Linked DNA regions of Tamandua tetradactyla. The protein of the gene in region 2 interacts with the protein of the main gene of each other region in a pairwise test. Links are inferred from orthologs where the notes say so. Each region holds a gene or a part of one and is shown on either strand. Other genes may lie near its edges.

Region 1 (11,513 bases), about 130 Mb from region 2:
AAAGTAGAAAGACAGCCTACACAATGGGAGACAATATTTGGAAATGACATATTAGATAAAGGTCTAGTATCCAGAATTTATAAAGAGATTGTTCAACTCAACAACAAAAAGACAGCCAACCCAATTACAAAATGGCTAAAAGAGTTGAACAGACACCTACCAGAAGAGGAAATATAAATGGCCAAAAGGCACATGAAGAGATGCTCAATGTCCCTGGCCATTAGAGAAATGCAAATCAAAACCACAATGAGATATCATCTCACACCCACCAGAATGGCCATTATCAACAAAACAGAAAATGACAAGTGCTGGAGAGGATGCGGAGAAAGAGGCACACTTATCCACTGTTGGTGGGAATGTCAAATGGTGCAACCACTGTGGAAGACAGTTTGGCAGTTCCTCAAAAAGCTGAATATAGAATTGCCATACGACCCAGCAATACCATTGCTGGGTATCTACTCAAAGGACTTAAGGGCAAAGACACAAACAGACATTTGTACACCAATGTTTATAGCAGCGTTATTTACAATTGCAAAGAGATGGAAACAGCCAAAATGTCCATCAACAGAAGAGTGGCTAAACAAACTGTGGTATATACATACAATGGAATATTATGCAGCTTTATGACAGAATAAACTTATGAAGCATGTAATAACATGGATGGACCTAGAGAACATTATGCTGAGTGAGTCTAGCCAAAAACTAAAAGACAAATACTGTATGGTCTCACTGATGTGAACCGACATTCGAGAATAAACTTGGAATATGTCATTGGTAACAGAGTCCATCAGGAGTTAGAAACAGGGTAAGATAATGGGTAATTGGAGCTGAAGGGATACAGACTATGCAACAGGACTAGATACAAAAACTCAAAAATGGACAGCAGAATAATACCTAATTGTAAAGTTATCATGTTAAAACACTGAATGAAGCTGCATCTGAGCTATAGGTTTTTTTTTTTTTTTACTATTATTATTACTTTTATTTTTTTTCTCTATATTAACATTCTATATCTTTTTCTGTTGTGTTGCTAGTTCTTCTAAACCGATGCAAATGTACTAAGAAACGATGATCATGCATGTATGTGATGATGTTAAGAATTTCTGATTGCATATGTAGAATGGTATGATTTCTAAATGTTGGGTTAATTTCTTTTTTTCTGTTAATTAATAAAAAAAATTACTGTGGGATTTATCAGGGTCCAATCTGCTCTTGAAACCCTCCTGGGAATTTTTCATTTCAGTTATTATGGTCTTCAACTCTAATAGTTCATTTGGTTCCTTTTAAAATTTGCCTCTTTACTTAGACTCTCATATTATTCATTCATTGTTTTCCTGATATCTTTTAGTTCTTTCTCTGTACTTTCCTTAAGTATTTTTTAAAAATAGGTTTTGTTTTGGCATAGGCAGGCTCCAGGAATTGAATCCGGGTCTCCAGCATGGCAGGAGAGAATTCTGCCACTGCTCCACTGTTGCACTGCCCTCCTTAAGCATTTTCTTTTTGGCATGGGCAGGCCCCAGGAATTGAACCCAGGTCTCTGGCATGGCAGGTGAGAACTCTGCCTGCTGAGCCACCGTGGTCCACCCCCTAAGCATTTTTAAGATCACTTTTTCAAAAGGCTTTGTTTGGTGTATTCACATTCTTGTTGTCTTTGTTGGTATTTTCTGAATCTTTATCCTATTCCTTTGGATGGGCCATTACCTCCTATTTCTTTGTTTGTCTTGTACTTTTTTTAAACAGCTTGTACATTCTATATACCCTGAATTTTTAATTAAGGTTTCAAAATACTCTTGACTTAGAGTTTCTGAAGATGTAAATATTTTTGGAGGACCTTTTTATAGTACCTTATAGCCTGGAAGAAATGGCTTTCTCATCTCCCAGCCAGGTAGCATGTAGGATTAGAAAGTACTTAAAACTATAAATTAAAAATTTAATTTGTTTTATGGAGGCAGGCTATTTTTATAATGTATGAGTTTGCTAGGTAACTTTATGTGCTTTATAGGCATTAAAAAATTATTTTTTAAATGTTTTTTCTTTGGGGGTGGTGATGCATGATCCGGGAATCAAACCTGGGTCTCCCGCAGGGAAGGCAAGCATTCTACCACTGAACCACCTGTGCGCTCTAAATTTCTTTTCCTGTAAAATATAACATATATACAAAGCAAAGAGAGAAAAAAGCAATAGCTTTATACACATTTAAAATTATTTCTGGATGGGCCACAGTGGCTCAGCAGGCAAGAATGCTCACCTGCTATGCCAGAGGACCCAGGTTCGATTCCCGGTGCCTGGCCATGTGGAAAAAAAAAATATTTCTGATATTGATAGTGCTGGTTTCTATTCATTTACCAGTAATTCTGTTCAGCAGGAAAATATCTTTTGAACATTTGCTCCTTTTTGGTCTTTAATTTGTAAAACATTAATGTTGGACAATAAATAATGATACAGAAGAAAGCAAATAAGCAATGGATTTTGCATAATGCATGGGAAATGAGGGGGTGCAAGCTATCGCAGGCCAAGAGTTCCTGTTATTCAGTAGTGTAGCAGGCAGACCTTGCCCTCTTTCTGGTTTAGCTGTGCTCTCTGTGGAAAATCCCAAAACCCCCTCTCCTTGCAGGCAAGTGAGATAAGATAAGGTTCATTTCCTGGTATAGAAACCCCCTCCCCTAGCCTCCAGGAACTGGTAATAATGCACATAGGCAAAAGAAGACATTCCTGGGGTGGGGGGCCCCTCAACCATTCAGCTCTGGGCCATTCTCAATTTAAATCAGCCAATTGTGTACCTTGTCTTTAACATGTCAAAAAGTCTATAAAAGCTAAGGTTGCCTTTTGTTCAGGGCTCAGACTTTTGAGGTGACTTAGCTGGGCCCTCTTGCACAAGAGCTAATAAAACCTACTTCCCGAAACTGGGGATCCTTAGTCTCAGCGTTTTCTAACTTCGCGGAACATTCCTGGAGGCCTATGGCCTCGTTCCTGGTTTTTGCGCTACAGTAGGATGTCCTTTGGACCACCTGTGGGCTACATTGCAGAGGGCTCATCTTTCTTTTCCTCCCTCCCAAAGGTCTCAAACAGCTTAGAAGGATGCTGAACATGATGATTGATCTTGATTTTTGCTATTCATCAACTTTTCTTGATCTTGCTGTCTGATTCCATACATTTCAGAATGGTCAAGGGATTTGTAATAAACTTGGCTTGTGTTCATTTTATTAAAAAATAAGCTCCAAAAATATCCATAAGTTGTGCTACTGAAGTTCCTTTAAAGACCTATACCAGTGTTTCCATAGTGTGGGTCATCCTGAAGTGCTAACATGAGGGCTGGTGTCCACATTGTACATTTTAATATTTTGAAACGTTACCTCTGGGATTTATTTTCTATGATGTCAGCTTTTTGGTTTTTTAAGCAGGTGTTGATAAAGCTGAGACCTTCTTGAGCTTCAGCACTCCTATGAGGAAGATTTACTCAAGGTAAATGCAGGGTGCAAGGTTTTCCCTGTCTTTCTGGGCCTCTTTTCATCCTGGGCTTTTGCATGTTAGTTTTTTGGAGTTCCAGTTATTTACAGGAGTTTGGTTGTTACCTCTTCCACCCAGGAGACAGACATCAGTCTCACTGGTACTTGAAGCCAGTAGTCCTTTTTTCCAGGGTGTCTGCCTCTGTAATATTTTATATTCCTTGTTTTTTTTTTTTTTTTTTTTCATGCTGCTTTTGCCTGGAGGACAAATTCTGTGAGGATGGTCATCCCAGTGGGGACTTTTCTAAGTCACTCTTTCCCAGCCAATACAGGTGGTGGTGGGGGGACCTACTAAAGTGGCACAGATTGTCTCCAAAATGCCCTGGGGAGATGATCAGGAAGGGTACCAAAATTCTCTCTGATGGTTCCAAAAACTGCAGTTTCCTGTCCTGCTCAACAAATGCAATCCTTTAGCTAACTGTCCCCAACAGTCCTGGGGAACCACAGTGTCATTAAATGTCTACCATCTCCATCCCTTTCCAGGGAGGGTGAAACAATGGCTGCTGCATCCTTTCTCAGGGTGGGTTTGAAACAATGGCTGTCACCACCTTTTTCCAGGGCAGATTGAAACAATAGCTGCCTTCCTAGCTGGAAACCAGCAATCTGAATATGCTAATCAAAAGCTGCAATCATTGATAGGCTCTGTCTACTACTGTTCTTGGGGAAGAGGATTTTTAGGTCCTTTTCTGTCACCAGCAGCTAGCCAGGGATTGTACCTGGCCATGGCCTGCCACGAAGGTGAGGGATGAATTCAGGTAGTTGCTGCACAGAGAGAGCAATTTACCATTCTTTATTGTCATTTATCAGTCTCTTCATCCTGCTCTTCCCTGGATGCTGTATGGAGTTCTTCTGGCCTTTGGGGTTTCAAAATAGTTGTTTCAGGTAATTTCTGTCTGTTTAATAGTTGTTTTGGTGGAAGGTCTGAGTCCCAAGTGCCTTTCTCCACCATCTTCCCTGGAAGTCTCTGGTTGGGTAAGTTTATTTTGAGGTTTGATCAATTTAACTGGATATTGAAATGGAGAGATTATTCTGCATGATATGCTTTGGCCCTTAATGTAATCACAAATGTCCTTTAAGAGGGAAGTAGAGGGAGATTTTACTACAGAAGGCCATGTGATGAAGTGATGATAGAAGCAGAAAGAAGCAGAGTTACCTGCCGGTTTTGAAGATGCAGAGAGGGGCCACAAATCAAGAAACACAAATGGTTCTAGAAGCTAGAAAAGGCAAAGAAACAGACTCTTCCTTGAGGCTTACAGAAGAAACTGGTCTTGCTGACACTTTGATTTTAGCCCCATAAAATTCATCTCAGATCTCTTACCTCCAGAGATGCAGGAAAATAGATTTGTATTGTTTTAAGTGACTAAGTATGTGGTAGTTTGTTACAGCAACAATAGGAAAGTAATACTCTGGGTCAAAGAATAGAAATAATATTTAAAATTTAATAAGTCTTGATAAATTATCTTCACGGCTTTGAAAAGTGCCACTTTCCTTATCCATGAGAGCATAGTATATTACTAATTTTTACGTTTGTCAACCAGTTCTGTAAACAAATTCTGCCTCCTGCTCTAGAAAGGCAAGTTTGCTTTGGGTGTTATTTTATGGAGCTTGTTAAAAAATGGCAAATCAATCTGTAAGTGATTTTAATATTTGACTTCTGGGAACTTGCTATTTAATGCTGGAATTGTTACTTCCTCACTCCAATTAGAAACTCTTCCTGGTTCTGGGATATTAGGAAGTCCCAGATGAAATGGTGATGGAGGACCGGTGGGGATTTCAGAAGAATGAGTGTGGTGCAGACAAGAGAGGATCCCAGAATATATGCATGTAGTACATCATTTTTTAAAAAAACTTTTTTATTGTATAATGTAACATATATACCAAACAAAGAAATAAAAATAGCAATAGTTTTCAAAGCACTCTTCAACAAGTAGTTACAGGACAGATCCCAGAGTTTGTCATGGGCTACCATACCATCATCTCAGATATAGTACATCATTTTTTTAAAGTCAGTAAAGAAGCAAAACTTACTTTTATACACACCTGTATATAAAAATCCCTTTTGCCATATATATAACGTGTTGAGTGTGTGTGTGTATATATGAGCATACACTCTAATGAAAGTAGCAGTGGAAGGAAGAGGGGAACAGGCAGGGCATGGACTAGACACACGGGGTTCCACAGTGTGGTGGGCTCACTGTTATTTATCACCTCCTCAATTATTTACATATTTATATATACGTTTGTTACCTAAATTCTTTTGTATGTATCAAAATTAATATTCAATAAAACATTGCATGAGTTATGTAATGTGCTTTTATGATTGAAAAACAAAGCCAGAAGGACATAGAGATGGTAGAAAATATGCTTTGAAAATGGAGCCTCAAGATTAAGCCCAGGGGGAAAAAAAAAAAAGATTAAGCCCAGAAATTGACAATTGAAAGAGACACAAACTATTTCATCAAGCTAACTTTTCCAGGTGTTACTTGGAAAAGCTAACAGGTGGCAGATAATTGGGTAAACTCACACTAATCATGAAACTGAAAAAAAGAGAACCGTGTTTCTATAAAACTCAAGCGTCGGTAAATCAAGGGACTGATAATTTGAGTAGAACCTTCTCAAAATCAGTTTTCACGCTGGGTTACCATCGAGATGTTGAGTCTGCGCAAGACGTTGCCCTATGCAAAAATGGCGGTTCGGGTTTCAAGAATTTAAATGTTCAAGCGCATGTCCGGAAGTTACGCCACTCCATAAGATAGCGCGCTCCTACCGTGGGGAGAGTTTCCGCCATTTTTGAAAATCGTGAAGGTCCTAAGATAAGTGTAGTTGCCGTTGCGATGGCAGCCTTTGCCGTGGAACCCCAGGCGCCCACACTTGGTGAGTGAAAAAGTGCTTTTTTTCGCTGGCACTGCGATCCACGCCTCAGGTCTGAAAGCGGGCAAGCAAGCCTGTAAGGTAGTGGTCTTCAGGCTCTGGTCCGCTAGCCTCAGTCGAGAAGGGGGAGGGAGCCCCTGGTTGCCTCGCGTTCCTAGTCCCCTTCCTGCCGGAGACTGAGACACCACTCCGCTGTCAAGGTGGCTCCGGGATTCCGCGGGCCCTGGAGAGGGTGAAGAAACGGCTGTCACGTGGTGATTGGGTAGGATTTTGTGCTTCCACATGCCGGCAGCGCCGCACTGGTCCTTTCCTGAATTTCGACTCGCACGGGAGAGGCGTAGTGGGTTCCTGGATCCCCGGAAGCGTCGGTGGGGAGGAACTGACTCGCATACACGTGGGTGGGCGGCGCCCTGGAGTGCCTGGTTGCTGTCGACCGCGCCTGGTCACCTAGGTTTCTAGTTCCTGTTTTCATTCCCTCCCTCTCTTGTTAATTTGAGGACGCTCTCGGGCTTTGCAAAAAGGAGTCTGTGGTTAATGGAAGTTTGAGTCTTGCGACATTTAATCAATCAGGTGATGGTAATTATTGGGATATTGATTATACTAGCAAGCCTGAAGTTCCCATGTTTTTTCCCGCCTTTATTTTGGGAAAATTTTGACTTTTAGTTTGTAGGTCATTTCCTCGAATTAGTCACTATCTGACTTTTCGAATCCACCTTTGATATTTATTGGGTAGCCTTGAAATGTGCGGTCGTTGAAGGGAGTCTACCAAGTCATCAGGGTGCTGATCCCCTTTTTGTTGTGTCGTGTGTCGTGTGAGAACCGTCAGAAATTTTAGGAGAGAACAGACCGCCTAATATCGTAGACTTACTTGAAAATTAGGTTATGATTTTTCGAGTTTAGAAAAGAGCAGAAGTGATATATATTGTGGAGAATGGGCTTTTTAGATTTAAAGAACAAGTTATGCTTGCCATAGCTTTTATGCAAAATATTTCGTTTGAGTATGGAGTTATGTAAACTATTTTAGTTTTAGTCTCATTACAAACAAAATGTATAACGTCAATAATGCAAGCACTGCTACGTTTAGACTTTTGTACGGATGTTGGTCTAGGTATTTACTTTTCCTGAGTTTTAGAGATCAGAAAACCATGTAGTTCCAGCTGCAGGTTGTTTTTTGTTTGTTTGTTTATCAAAAACATTTTGGAGTGTATGGTTGCTGGTGTTACAAAGATTAATGAAACCCTGTTTATTGCCTGGCTAGAAATCTGCTAAAACTGATTTTAATTCTTCAAGTCTACATATTGTAGATAGTTGAGGGGAGGAATAAACATTTTCCCAGCATCTAATAGTATATTAAAAGTAAAGGTTTACTTCAACAAACTGCTAACTGAGTAACATAGTACTTTCATTTGGGAGCACAGACTGAAATGGAATTTAAGACATACAGGATGCTTAGAAATTGGTTAAGCTTTTTAAGGGGAATTCAGCTTTTGAGGGGTGGTTAGTGACAGAGCCAGGATTAGGAGACCATTTGGTCCTCCTGACTCTTTTTTCTAGTGTATCATAATATATACTTATGTATATTGGAACTTTTCTTAATTCTTACAATCTTTATAAATTGTTTCTTTAGGAGATGGAGTAGTGATGGTATTTGGTGGTGTTACATAAAACTTTGTGTTTATTACTGTGGTTTTTAAAATGTCTGTTCAGAATTTTTTAAAAAGCCTCTTAAAAAAATTAGCGAAGTGTCACCTTAATTAAGCTTTTGCTTTCACTTTTGGCTTGCTTTTAGTATATGTTCTTTGGAAATGGGTAATAGTAACATAGTAACTAACAGTTAAAATAATTGCAATGTAATTATAGTTCTTCACATCTTATTTCAGTATTTATGTTATCCTTTTCCTGAATTTGCCTTTTTCCTCTTACACACTTGCATTGTAAAACACTAGTTCTGTTATAGTGGGAGATGAGAGAATAAATAATTGATAGGTGTTGGATAAAATGAAGCAAATATTTGAAAGTTAAAGAAAAGTGTATCAAAAGCCTGTGAATAATGTAAAAAACATTTGATCCTTTTGAGTGCTATGAATCACATTCAGGCTTGTCACATAGTTAAAAATTAAGTTTTCATAAGCAGGAATTGGAGATTTTACATTTGTACATTAATCACTCAATTTTTGCTATTATAGATTACTACTAGAATAATAATAACATTTGTTGAACACTTACTGCTGATTAGATACTGGTAAGTGCTTTACTTAGTGTCTTATTCTAAAAAAAAAAACACGGCATAGGTGCTATACTACACTATTTTGCAGAGAACTTGAACCAGGTCTCTGACACTAAAGTCTATTTTTTCTTTACTATTTTGCTCTGAAATTACAATATTATTTCTTCGTCTTTTTAATACCAGTAATAATGCCTACACTGTTGTGAACATTAATTATTTTAAAATTATTTATTTTTTAAAATGATAGAAAAACATTCCAAGTCTTTTAAATGTGTTTCTGAGTTAGGATATTAGGCATCATTATTATTGCATTAGTTGTCTAATGTTTACACTTTTATCATAAAAATGCTTTGCTGTTTTTTGTGTATGGGGAAAAAGGAGTGGGGCATTTGCCAAGCTAAATGCATGTGTCTGATTTGCTAAGACCTTGTATAAATAGTGTACCCATCCTCTGTTTTGTTTGCGACCAAACTGTAGAAACTAGCCAGAACTGGAAAGAAATTAGTGTGTATTAGGTTTTTTTTTTTAGATGTTAAGCTAATTTTTAATTTAAAAATAAGGTGTGGGCAGGCCACTTTTGCTCAGCAGGCAGAGTTCTCGCCTGCCATGCTGAAGACCTGGGTTTGATTCCCTGTGCCTGTCCGTGCAAAAAAAAAGTGTAGTTCTTAAACTTGTGGAAAAAATGTAAACAGAAACTGCTCTGATGATTAATATTGTTAATGCAAGATGACATGCTAGAGCCTTGCATCTTTTTGTTAGCTATTGTAGTAGAAAAGTTATTAACTTTTATTTTTGTTTTTTTTGATTCATATAGGATCTGAACCAATGATGCTGGGTTCACCCACCTCTCCAAAGCCAGGAGTTAATGCCCAGTTCTTACCTGGATTTTTAATGGGTGATTTGCCAGCTCCAGTGACTCCACAACCTCGTCCAATTAGTGGCCCTTCAGTAGGAGTAATGGAAATGAGATCACCTTTACTTGCAGGTAGGTAAATTACTTACAGTAGTTTTATAGTGATAACAGTACAAGTACTAGAATTTTAAAAAAGTATAGTGTACCTTTCATTATCATCAAAACATTTATTAATTTTAAAAAGTCAAGTATTGCCTCTTTGAATAGAGGTGTAATAAGTATAAGCTTCTTTAATTCCAAGAACCATTCATTAAAATGTACATGCTATATTTCATCTAATCAAAGATGCCATTGTTTGTACAACTTGTCATTATTTTATGTACCGTTAGGAAAGAACATTTTATATCAAATAACACCTTAAGGGCAATTTAAAAAAAATTTCTCTCTTTTTTTAAAAACTTTATCGAATCTAATTGAAGATTCTTTTATTTTCTTACCTGACTATTTTTGTACGTTGTAGGTGGGTCACCACCACAACCAGTTGTACCAGCTCATAAAGATAAAAGTGGAGCTCCACCAGTTAGAAGTATATATGATGATATTTCCAGCCCAGGACTTGGATCAACCCCTTTAACTTCAAGAAGACAGGTAATATATATACCCTCATGATCTACAGTTAATTTCATATATTTTTATGTAACTGTCCCGTGAGTACTTTTCAATAATTTGAAATGTTTCCCTAAAGTCTGTTTTAGTGTAACTGTTGCACAGAGTAAGCATTAAGTTTATCTATCATAGAATCTCCTTAACTTGTGTTTATCTTGAAATGTACTTAAAAATGTAGTAGACCTCCAGATGTTTTTCTCATATAGATAATTCTGTGGTGTTTATAGATATAAACACCAATCTTATCTATGTGCCAGTACTTCCAACTTACTTAATATATGTGTAGAATATGATTATGACTAAAGTCATTTCACTTGTTTAAAAACATAATCTCAAACTCTAGCTTTCTGACTTAGAATCTGAATTTTAATTCTGTGGGAGATTCAGTATTTTAAACAACTGCCTCCTACTTATTTATGAGCTGATTATCTAGTATGGACCTGACACCTCTTTGAATAGAGGTGTAATAAGTATAAGCTTCTTTAATTCCAAGAACCATTCATTAAAATGTACATGCTATATTTCATCTAATCAAAGATGCCATTGTTTGTACAACTTGTCATTATTTTATGTACCGTTAGGAAAGAAGGTGTTCGGATAATGTTTTTTTCCCAGTCATATATTATGCAAAATGGAGATTTTTCTGTTCTGATGGAACTGATAATGACAAGAAAATGTCTAATACTGAATACTCAGGCCCTGATAGTATAACTTCTCAAATTACCTCGTTTAATTCTCACAAAAATTCTGTCGTGTTATGAGTTTTGTTTAGCATTCAAGAAACTAGGACACAGAAAGATTAACTAATTTGCTAGGCACCTGGTATATAGCAGAGCCAGGCTTCCACCCCAAGTAGTTTTGAATCTAGGCTAGTGTTTGTAACTAGCCATACTGTACTAATGCTACCATGACAACTCTTGATTATCAGTTGAAAGGTAATACGGATTTTTTTTTTAAGTGAAAAGCTTAATAACTTTTACAGTCACAAATGTTTTCTCCTGTCACTATTGTTCTTTGTAGGGCATATAAACAAAGTATGTTAAGTTAAATTAATAGTGCTTTTTATGAAGACATTTCTGCTCTTTGATTTGGAGAAAGGTCTTATGCCTATCTGTCTCTAAATCAATTTGGCATATTTGTTGAAGAGTTTAAAAGTATTAAAAGGCATCTTTCAGTGAATTTTCACAATTTATATGCCTGATATGCTTGGCATACTAGGCCTACTTGTTAGGCAAAGCAATATTAATTCTTTATTTTAAACAGTTTACCTTCCCTTTTCAACACTTCTAGACCTGCCCTGTGTCATACAGTAGCAACTAATCAAATGTGACTATTGGCACTTGAAATGTGGCTAGTTCTAATTGAGATGTGCTGTAAGTATAAAATACAC
Region 2 (10,876 bases):
TGAAAGTGAAAAAACTATCATCTGAGAAATTATGGACAGAATCTTAGTAATAGCATACTGAAAGAAAAAGGAAGTTCCAAAAGACTACAAAATAGTATTTTTCTAAAGCCCCAAAGCTGACAAAACAAAAAACACAGCTTAGATATTAACATATATGTGGTAAAACTGATTTAAAAGAGGGGAAAAAACATAGCAAAGAGAAATACAAAATTTATGAAAACTTTTACCTTTGAGGGAGAAGCGGGTTGAGGAGGGCGACAGGAAAATGGATAAGCACATTAAATTCCTGCTAATATATTATTTCTTGTGTTGGGTAGCAGGTTTACTATGTTTTACACTATTTTTAAGTATATTAATATTCTATATTGTATTCTTTTGTATGCATTAAATGTATTTTAAAATGTTTATACCTAGAAATAATATTTACAAATAGTAACTGATAAGATTTTTAGTAGTGCATACATTTCCATAGGCAAAGGTTCACACAGATTTTACCTTTCCTCAACCCTAACAATATAATGGACTCAAACTGAATAGTTAATAGGAGCAAAACATTTTTTACTTAATTTCAAACCTAGAATAAAGGTTATTTCCTAGACCAAGAATGTAAAGATATAAAACAGTACAGAATTAAGATGTGTTTCATGTGCCACTTCGTCTGCAATGTCTGGCAGGGTGCTCAGATGCCACTCGCTGACTACACTGAGATGCCTACGTCTTTGTTTCAATTTCCTTAATACCAACTCTTAGTGACTATCAGAGAACAATGAGAAGTCTGAGGGATATGAAGAAAGGATAAAAGATGTAAGCATAACTGATTTTCACTGGAGCACTCTGAGTAACAAAAAAAAAATATTAAGGTCCCAATCAGTTAGATGTATGGCTTTCAAATGTTTTTAACCATGCACCCCATCAATAAAACATTTTGGGCCATGTGCTCAAATATATTTATTTACTTATAAGCTACACACTACCAGCAGAAAGAATGTTTCCCCACTAATAGGAGGATTTTTATCCACTTGTACTTTGAGGCTGCCAATAAAAAGCCTGGAAATATTTATCATCAAACAGTGAAATTCTGCCAAATATAAGACTAATTTTTTTTTTTTTTTAGATGCACAGTCTGAGAATTGAATCTGGGTCTCTCACATAGAAGGGATGCATTCTATCACCCATGCACCCCAAGAGTTTATTAAAAAAAAAAGAAAACAAAACTAAATATCTGAAGGCATTTGTCATCACGTGCTAGAAAATATTTTTGAATGTCTTGCTTATTGGGATGCCCTTTTCCTATCATTAGCTAATATTTCAAAGAACATTATACACTTAAGGAGGTATTTACTGTTAATAGCAAATATTAAATAGGACTTCAAAGTTTTCTTTAAAATTTGACTTTTTTTTGGCTTCTCATATCCAAGAGATAGACTGTTTTGTTTTTATTTCCTAATATATGGAGAAAGAATTTATACAAGAAGTGCCAGCTCTTGCCATTTTCTTTGTTTACTTGTGTTTGCATAATTAATATTGTATTCAATGTGCAGTTTCAATGAAGTAAATTTTAAAAGCCATTTGGGTTCTTGGTGAGGGTTAGTTTAAAATGGGATGATATAAACCTTAACCTGGCACTTGTTAACTTCAATACATCAATCAATGAAGAAGCTAATATCAACTTTTTCACATGTGAACGCTCTCCCTTTTCACAGAAGATCTGTTATCAGCTGACACATTTAGCGATTGAAGACACCTATGTCTTTCCAGGTAGGTAAAATCAAGCTTTAATATTTCTTATATTTTTAAGTAAAAAATATAAATAAAAGGTATAATATATCTTCCTCAACCCCAATGGATCATTTTGCACATCTTCTGTGGTTCACCATTGCATTCTGGAAACCACTGTTCACATCAAAAACATGTACTAGCTAGTGCGTATTGACTTAGTACACAAATAATTCATGGTTAGCATATGATATAGGCCTCAGCAACAACTCTGTGCATCCCCACTCTCAGGTTTCTTGGCCCCCTATGTGGCAAGTACTAAGTAAGTATTATGGGAGGAAACCTTACTTGAAAAAAAAAAATTATTCTCCTGAGGAGGACACAAAAACTGAAACTAGTTAAATAAGAAAACAATGAAAGTGATTCAGATATTCCAACTGGTGGATGGCAAATCAAACTCTTTGAAGCAGCCCTTTGCTTCAGCATGTTCTCAATGAACATTCATGTCATGATCATGCCAATCCTAACTAAGTATTCTCTCTATATAAAAAAGCAGGCTGTCAGGAAGTTATTCTGCATGCTTTGTCAAATAAGAATAATTATATTGTTTATTAATTAGCTGAAGGGTGAAGAGTAGAAACACCGACAACTTTTGCAATTCAGAGAAAAGATTTCTTAGAATATGCTCTCCACTAGAGTAGTATTGAAATACATGGCTTATTTTTAATATTGAATCTTACCAGTAATCTCCAGTTTATATCTGTATAATCTTTGAAATATAAACATTTATTTTTAATTGTTTCAGATGTATCTTTTCCAGTCTTTTGAGATTTTCTACTAAAATATTTTTAAAGTAAATAAAATATAAATTAGAAAATCTAAGCTAGTAAAAACTAAATAGCTTTAAAAATTGTTGTTAAAAATATTGAAAGACAACTCAACCAATCTTTGATGATCATAAAATTCAGGGCTTTCAGAAGAGATTTCGTGCATAGTATTTTTATGACTAGGTCTAAACATCTGCCTTTCATGGAGTAACACACCAAAGCTGTTGGATTAAAAAAAAAGTCAAACAGTGGTCTATTTTGAGAACATATTACAACTACAACTCCGCATATACTAAAACTTGCAGGACAATATAAATTTTAAATTACAGCAGTAGCTAACCATAAAAAAAGGGATAGAAAAAGTGAATAACGATCATAAATAATGTAAATTTTGTGACGTATATTTGAGTCAGTATTTATGGAAAACTCAAGAACTTGAATTCATGCCATTTCTGTATTTGTATGAGTATTAAATCTAAAAGATTAGAAGAATACAAAATTATGGTCAGCAAACTACATGGTGGTTAAGTTTGTAGAACATGTTTACTTGAAACTGCATAGTCGCTGAAAGCCATTTTTTATACCATGCCCTTTTTCACTATTTAAACATTTACAATGTTTCCAGAATATGCAGGGAGCAAAATCTTCTAGCAAATAATTCAGTGAGACTAACTTACCTTTACCTTAGAATCTAAGCCTAAACTACTTCTCCATATCATTTAGCCCCACAATACATTCTCTGCCTTGAATAGTCAAATTTTCCAAAGAAGCCGACCGACTTGCATGGGTGGGGCGAGAGGCTGAGAAGGAACAGGATTCATTTTGGCTTGCTGCAGCGTTGGAAAAATATTTAGTACCACACCCTCAATAAAGGCCTAACACAGCAAACCAGTCCATTTTGGTCTACTGGCACAAGTCCTCTAAGGAACTAAAATAAGGCGAAATAAAACAAGTACAGAAGTTTGACGCCAGCGAGACTAGGAGGATTGAAGCGCCTAAAAGAAAAAAAAAATCCTAATTTTTTATCCTGTCTTCTACCTAGTTGAAAAAATATTTTATTTAGCCACTGATAGCTGAGTTGTTTTTACCTAATCAATCTTACATGACTTAGTTATTACTACCACTTTCTGCAGCAGACCATTACTCAGCACCAAGGTGGAAACGAGCCCTGCGGGAGCCCAGCGGGGCCAGGGGCGGGGGGAACGGGGTCTTCGGGGCCATGTGGGTGAGGACCCTCGGCACCCAGCGCGCAAGTGACAGCGGCCCTCCCCACGCCCTCCGTCCCCACCACTCTCCTGGACCCACATCCTAGATTTGAGAACGCTGAGGCAGAAGCGTGACCTGACCTGGGCCCCGGGGAGCTGAGGAGTTGAAGTGCAGGCCCCGGGATGGGGGAGGCCCGGGGAAGCGATTTTCACCTTCGGGACGCCCCCCGCCCGCGCCCCGGGAGCACGCCCACCTCCCGGCCCCTCTATCCAACTTCAGCCCTCTGCCCTCCGGCTCCCTGCGCGCCCATTCCGTCCTCCGCTGCCCTGGCCCCCCGCAGCCGGCCCCGCCTCGCCTCCTCCCGAACCCCTTACCTTTCCATTCTTGGGGCTGCCGTTAAGGAACAGGGTCACCCGCCTCATCGCGCTGCCCCCACCGGGTCCTGAGTGAGCCGCCACCCTCCCACCTTTTTCTCCTCCCACCTTTTTCTTCTCCCGCCCTGCCCCTCCCTCCACCCACTCGGACTCTCCTCCCTTCGCCACCTTCCTCCTCTTACTCACAGACACACACACGCACACAATCTCTCTCTGTCCCACACCCCAGGGTTGGCCGGTCCTCCTCCCCACCCCGCCCCTACGCTCCTCAACCTGCCTCGGGCCCTTCCCCCACCCTCCAAGACTGACTTTAACCTTCGCCAATCAAAGGGCAGGGCCGGCCAGAATTCAACCAATCATTGCCCGGCACTGGGCAGCTCACACCAACCCAGGCGGGGTGGAGGGAGGGGAGAAAAGCTGAAGACTAGTAGAGGGGAAGGGTTATCAGCCAATTAGAGCAGAACGGGGAGCCGAACCGCTGCTCAAAACATTATTGAGCAGGCGCAAACCCAATAATGGGTAGCGCGAGAAGAGTTTATTTGCATACGGAGGTGCGGTTTGAGGAAAGGAGGTGGGGCGCTCTTCTAGCGCTCCACCAGTCAGTGCCTCCCCCCTCTAACCCCGCCCACTCGCCCAACCCGCAGAGGAAACGGCTGCCGGCGGAACTGGCTGATTGGGTAAGCGCCAGCCCGTCATTCTCTCATGATTGGTCCAATGATTCTTTTCGAACTTTGTTGTATCCAACCGCAGGGTCGGGGGCGGTGCTCGTGGGAAGGATTACTCCGCGAGACTTTCCCAGAGAGTAGTCCCCACAGACACAGTTAAAAGCTGGTTTCTGTGGTGAGTGGGTCGCTCGCAGCTAGTGGTGGCTTCTCTTCTAGCGCGGGCAGCCACTCCTCTTCCCGAGTCAGAGGACGCAGAAGCTTGAAGGAGCCCGGGGTGTGAGTAGACACGTGCGGTGGTGGCGGGCGTAGCGATTCGTGGAGGTAAAGTTCTGACGCCGAGGAGGCGGAGTCGGCGATTTGAATTGAGCGGCGGGCCGAGGCGGCCGCGGGGACGCTGGGCGGGAGGGTGGAGAGCGCGGCTACGCTGGGCTCGGATTTCGGGCGTCCGGAGCCTCCGGGGTCCGGAGGAGCTGGAGAGAAAAGTGGCCGTTATCGTGACGCCGCATTTGCCTCCTGATTTAGCAGGCAACCTTTGCTTTCTCGAGCGAAACCTTGAGGATGAAACAGCCGAGGTCTAGAAGGCATGATAGCTTCAAGAGATAGAAGACGTTATATCGGGCCCTCATCCTAGTTTTCCTGACGTCGATACTTGTCTGCTGCTGAGGTTGGGAAATAAGCCGAAGCGGGAGGAGACCGAAGTTACGAAGGTGAGAGGTAGCAAGTGTTGTGATTTGAATTTCAAATACTGGAGAACTGTGCTGTTTCTTGAGAGTGTCCTCGGTTTATCACGTCCTTCGGAGATAGTGGTCCTGATGCAGCCTGCTCGAGATCACCTGGGATGCTTTTAAAAATGCACATTCCTAGGTCCCATCCACATTGACTGAATCAAAAGTTCTGGGAGTCCACGGAACTGCAGCCTTATTAACGGGGTACCCAGATGATTCACATGTTTATTACGTTCATATCTGACCGATCAGATGTTGATAAGCCAGGGCTTATATGGGATGAGGTCTAATTTATTTCATCCTGCACAGTTTCCCCCATTCTTTTTAAATTTGAGCCCGAAAAGCACGCTTTTGACATCTGTTTTCATACCAGTATAGAATTGTATTGGAATTCAGTCTTGAATGAGATTTTGCTCTAATCACATTACGTTTGGGGTGGGGTTCTTCCCCACTCACCCGTTTTTAGATGGACACCAATTCAAAAGGCAAGGAACCTGAAATCAAGGAATCTGCTATTAAGAGCACTGGTATGTAGTGATTTTTTTACACTTTTATGAAATTTAAGGCTTAACTACTTGATGATAATGTTTTAGCCTCTACAATATATTGCTGTTTGTTTCAGAAGATACTTCCTTCATTTTTGCAAATGGGAAGCTTGTAACTCCTCAGAAGCATGAAGCAGAAGTGACTTCTAATTTTTGCACACCAGATACATTTAAATCACCTTTGAACTTTTCTACAGTAACTGTAGAACAATTAGGAATTACTCCTGAAAGTTTTGTTAAGGACTTGTCGGGTAAGATAAATTTTCATTCTAATGCACTGCTTTTAAAGTTTAAAAATAGCTAATACAATTCAACTGGTTTCCTCCACCCTGTCTGTACTATTATATTGTGCATCTACGTTGATTGACTGTACACTTCCTTACTGTAGAAGACTTTTATGTACCTGCACAGCAAATCTAGCATAGCAGGATACCAAGACACCTGACATGATAATCTTCCTAAGTCAGATTTGTGCCCTGTCTTCATACTGGGAAAGAATATGAATATTGTTCTCTTTTTGATCTGAAAGGTGAGGATTCAGGAGGATGCATGCTATCTATAGTAAAACATTTTATATTCATGAATGGCAAAAATAAAATTAGAAAGCAATTAAACGCTTAATTCCAAGGAGTAGAAATTCAACTGTGAAACTGATTTAGATGGAGACGGAATATGGGAATGGAGTTCTGTTAGCTGTATTCACAAATGAATGACAATGGGAAACTTGAAAGGCGTAGGGCACTAGACTAAGTAGGCAATATGTGAATAAAACAAGGTGGCATGTCATTCTGTGTACTCGTCTCAAAAACTTCACTCTTAGACCTAGATTCATTCTGTATGCTTAGATTTGGCCAAAATTCAGGGTGTTGTGCTGAAGGGGGATAGGAATCTAACAGAAGTGAAATTATCTTAAAGAATTATTATAAGAGTACATTCCCTAGATAGAGATCCTTCCCTTTCAGTCCTTAGGGATAAGGCTGACTGATTTAGAAAAAAAAGAAATTCTTAGTCAAAAGCAAGCCATTACCCCACCTCTGTGTTCAGGGGATAGGGAACAAAAATGAAAACCATTAATTAAAACGTGTTCATGTATTCATTCAACAACTATTTAATATAAGTCTTCTATGCAGGGTACGTCGAATAAATCAGTGGGCCAAAAAAAGATCTTTGCCAGTAATTCTCTGCTTAAATTTCTGTGATGTGTTTATCAATCTTGATTTCTCTATCAATCTTGTCCATTATAGGAATTTAGGACCTGATTACTGATAATTGCCTTGATTTGTTTTAATTTAAAAGAGTTTTCATTACAGGAAAGGCATCATCTTACCTTAAAAAATCCAGACGACGTTCTACAATTGGTGTTCGGGGCTCTCCTGAAACAAACCATCTGATTTGCTTCATTGCTCAGCAGCGGAATTTAAAGAGGACTGAAAAATCTCTTTTGGCACAGGATTCCCCTTTTCAGGTAGGATTTTCCTAGTTCTGTATTGAATTCTAGGGAGAATGTTTTGCTGTTTCATCAGATTTTTGTACAATGTTTCTACCTATAAGTGCATCTCGATTGTTTTGCGTCTGGAGTGATAGTATTTTCTCTCTCTTACAGAGAATGGGTAGTCAGTATAAATATTGATACTGAGCATGAGTATATCAGAGTCATGAGAATGTTGGAGAGAAATGACTTTCTAGAGGAGCTTTCTGTATTTTGTAAATTTTTTTCTGCTTAATGTCTGTTTTTCTATAGTGAGATGAGTCAGTGTCTTCCAATCTCTGTCTTTTAATATGTTGTCTGTAACGGTCTAATTTTTAATGCCTACTCTGAGTTGGAATTTAGGGTCAGTAGTCACCCAAGAACAGATTTGGGATAGCCTTGTAGAAGGTTGTGAATTATTTGTATGTTGATGGGGAAGTATTTAAATACTTTTTCAAATGCGCATCAAAATAACGCCTATTCTGGAAAAAAGCAAATAGTACAGGCTTGTTATGAAAGACAAGACTAGCTTACCCTTCTTGAAGGAAAACTTTTTTTTTCAATTAGAGAAGTTGTGTGTTTATGGACCAAGCATGCATAAAATACAGGATTCCCATTTGCCACCCCATGACTTATACCTTGCGTTGACATGGAACTTGATGAAAAATTATTAAAATAGGACTATTGACTGTCGTCCAGAGTTTACATTAGGTATATTTTTCTCCATATATCACCCTGTTATTAACACCTTGTACTAATTATAATTCATGAAAGAAGATTCTTGTATCATAAACTATTGTCCATCATCTACAGTAAGTTTCACCATCCTATATGGCCCTATGTTTTATCTTTTAAATTTTATTCCGGTAACATTTCATTTAAATATTGTCTAAAATTTCCCCTTTTAACCACGTTCACCTATATATTTGAGAGTTGTAATTATATTCACAATTGTGTGATACCATCACTAACATCCATTTCCAAACCTGTACCATCAATCTGTGCAAATTAAGCATCAATTCCTCATACACTGACCCCAGTCTATCCACTTGTAATCTTTATTCTAGATTCTAACTATGAGTTTACTTGTTGTAATTGCTTCACGCAAGTGAGATCATACATATTTGTTCTTTTGTGTCTGGCTTATTTCACTCACCATAATGTCCTCAAGATTGATCCATGTTGTTGCATGCATCAGGATTTCATTCTTTTTGCAGGTGAATAATATTCCATTCTATGTACATACATAGGATATCCATCCATTGTTTAGTCATTCATCAGTTGATAGACACTTGGGTTATTTCTATCTTTTGGCAATTGTGAATGATGTCCCTATGAATATATGTGACAGATGTGTGAAGGTCTGTTTGAGTTCCTGCTTTCAGTTCTTCTGGATATAAACCTAGTAGCGAGATTACTGGGTCATATGGTTATTCTATATTTAACTTCCTAAGGAACTTCCAAACTGTCTTCTGCAGGGACTATACCATTTTACATCCCCACCAGCAATAAATAAGTGTTCCTTTGTTCTCCACATCCTCTCTAACACTTGCAGTTTTCTGGTTTTTTTTTTTTAATAGTAGCTATTTTAGTGTGATATGATAACTCGTGATTTTGAAATTGCATTTTCCTAATAGCTAGTGATATTGAGCATCTTTTCATATGCTTTTCAGCTATTTGTATATCTTTGGAGAAATGTCTATTCAAATATTTTGCCCATTTTAAAATTGTGTTGTTTCTCTTTTTATCATATATATTCAGGATAGTAAACCCTTATTGGATATGTAGTTTCCAAGTATTTTATCCCATTGAATAGGTTGTCTTTTCACTTTTATGACAAATTCCTCTGATGCACAAAAGTTTTTAGTTTTAAGGAGTCTATTTTTTCTTTTGTTGCTTGTGCTTTGGGTATAAAGTCTAAGAAACCATTGCGTAACACTAGATCCTGAAGATACTTCCCCACATTTACTGCTAGAAGTTTATCCTTGGCTCTTATATTTGTCATTGATCCATTTTTGAGTTAATTTTTGCATATGGTATGAAATAGGGGTCCTCTTTCATTCTATTACATATGGATATTCTATTCTCCCAGCACCATTTGTTGAATAGACTATTCTTTCCCAATTGAGTGGAATTAAGGTAGCCTTGTCAAAAAATCAATTGGGACATACATGTGAGGGTCTACTTCTGAACTCTCAATTTAATTCCATTGGTCAGTATATCTATTGTGCTGGTACCATGCTCCGTTGTTGTTGTTGTTGTTGTTTTTGTTGTTTTTTTAACGTGGGCAGGCACTGGGAAACGAACCTGGGTCTCCAGCATGGCAGACTTGGTAACTGCTACTGAATCACCATGGCCCACCCACCATGCTCTTTTGAACACTGTAGCCTTGTAATATGCTTTAAGGTCAGGAAGCGTGAGTCCTCCAACTTGGTCTTTTTTTTTCAAGATGTTCTTGGCTATTCAAATGCCTCTTACCCTTCCACGTAAATTTGGTATTTGACTTTTCATTTTTGTAAAATAGGCTGTTGGAATTTTGATTATTGCCTTGGATCTGTCATCATTTTGGGTAGAATTGACATCTTACTGATATTTAGTCTCACAGTCCAGGAACACAGAATGTCCTTGCATTTATTTAGGCCTTTGATTTCTTGTGGCTGTGTTTTGTAAGTTTTTGTGTACAAGTTCTTTACATCTTGGTTGAATTTATTCCTGGATACTTGATTCTTTTAGTTGCTGTTGCAAATGGAGATTTTATCTTTTTTTTTTAACCTGTCTTTAACTGAAACCTTGTTAGTTGGTTTGCGCAGAGTTCTGTGCCTAGACAACCTTTCTATTTGGCTTTGTATTTTAAGTGACTAGCTGGTTTTTGTCACTAAAGAAGTAAGGGTTCTCTGGGTCTCATGAAATCACAGATATTTAACTGGAAAGAACCAAAAAAGAGTCATGTGAGAAAGAGGATAATATTTGAGCTATTATGTAATTCCCGGGACTTTTATTCTGGCCCACTGGGATGAACTAGAGATGAGTAATGAGACTAGCTTGGATTAAAATAGGTGCGCTGAAATTTACAAGTGGCAAGGCTTCATGCACTGGTATTATCACAATATATAATTTGTACATACTTTCAGCTTACTTTTAGCACAACCTTTGGTAAAATTTCAGAACAATTGGGTCCTTTCTGTCCCTTCTTTCCCTTATCTCCACTTATGCCTTCCATATATTCTCTTAGGCTGGGTTCTCCCAAATGTTTTTGTACTAAACTTTCCCTTACCCTTTCATATTTTTGATTTGCTGAGGCTATTGCAGGTGATTGACTCTGAAGGATGAAAGAAAACCCTTAAGTAAAC

The links.
Region 1: the proteins of KCTD9 (region 2) and NUP35 interact in binary tests that used the Homo sapiens proteins (3 or more experiments, as listed by UniProt). The two-hybrid records come from large-scale screens. The link is inferred for Tamandua tetradactyla from reciprocal best matches to the Homo sapiens genes KCTD9 and NUP35.

What each region holds. Positions count from the first base shown.
Region 1 is NC_135329.1:156,021,568-156,033,080, forward strand, and holds the start of NUP35 (nucleoporin NUP35), read left to right. Parts: upstream 1-6,249; 5' UTR 6,250-6,340; coding exon 6,341-6,380; exon of another isoform or gene 6,381-6,600; intron 6,601-6,816; exon of another isoform or gene 6,817-6,947; intron 6,948-7,481; exon of another isoform or gene 7,482-7,540; intron 7,541-8,563; exon of another isoform or gene 8,564-8,619; intron 8,620-9,418; coding exon 9,419-9,589; intron 9,590-9,977; coding exon 9,978-10,105; intron 10,106-11,513. UniProt on the Homo sapiens protein: Functions as a component of the nuclear pore complex (NPC).
Region 2 is NC_135329.1:26,402,431-26,413,306, forward strand, and holds the start of KCTD9 (BTB/POZ domain-containing protein KCTD9), read right to left. Parts: upstream 4,428-10,876; 5' UTR 4,172-4,427; coding exon 4,124-4,171; intron 1-4,123. Other genes in the region: CDCA2 (cell division cycle-associated protein 2), read left to right, coding at 5,980-6,040, 6,136-6,309, 7,369-7,523. UniProt on the Homo sapiens protein: Substrate-specific adapter of a BCR (BTB-CUL3-RBX1) E3 ubiquitin-protein ligase complex, which mediates the ubiquitination of target proteins, leading to their degradation by the proteasome.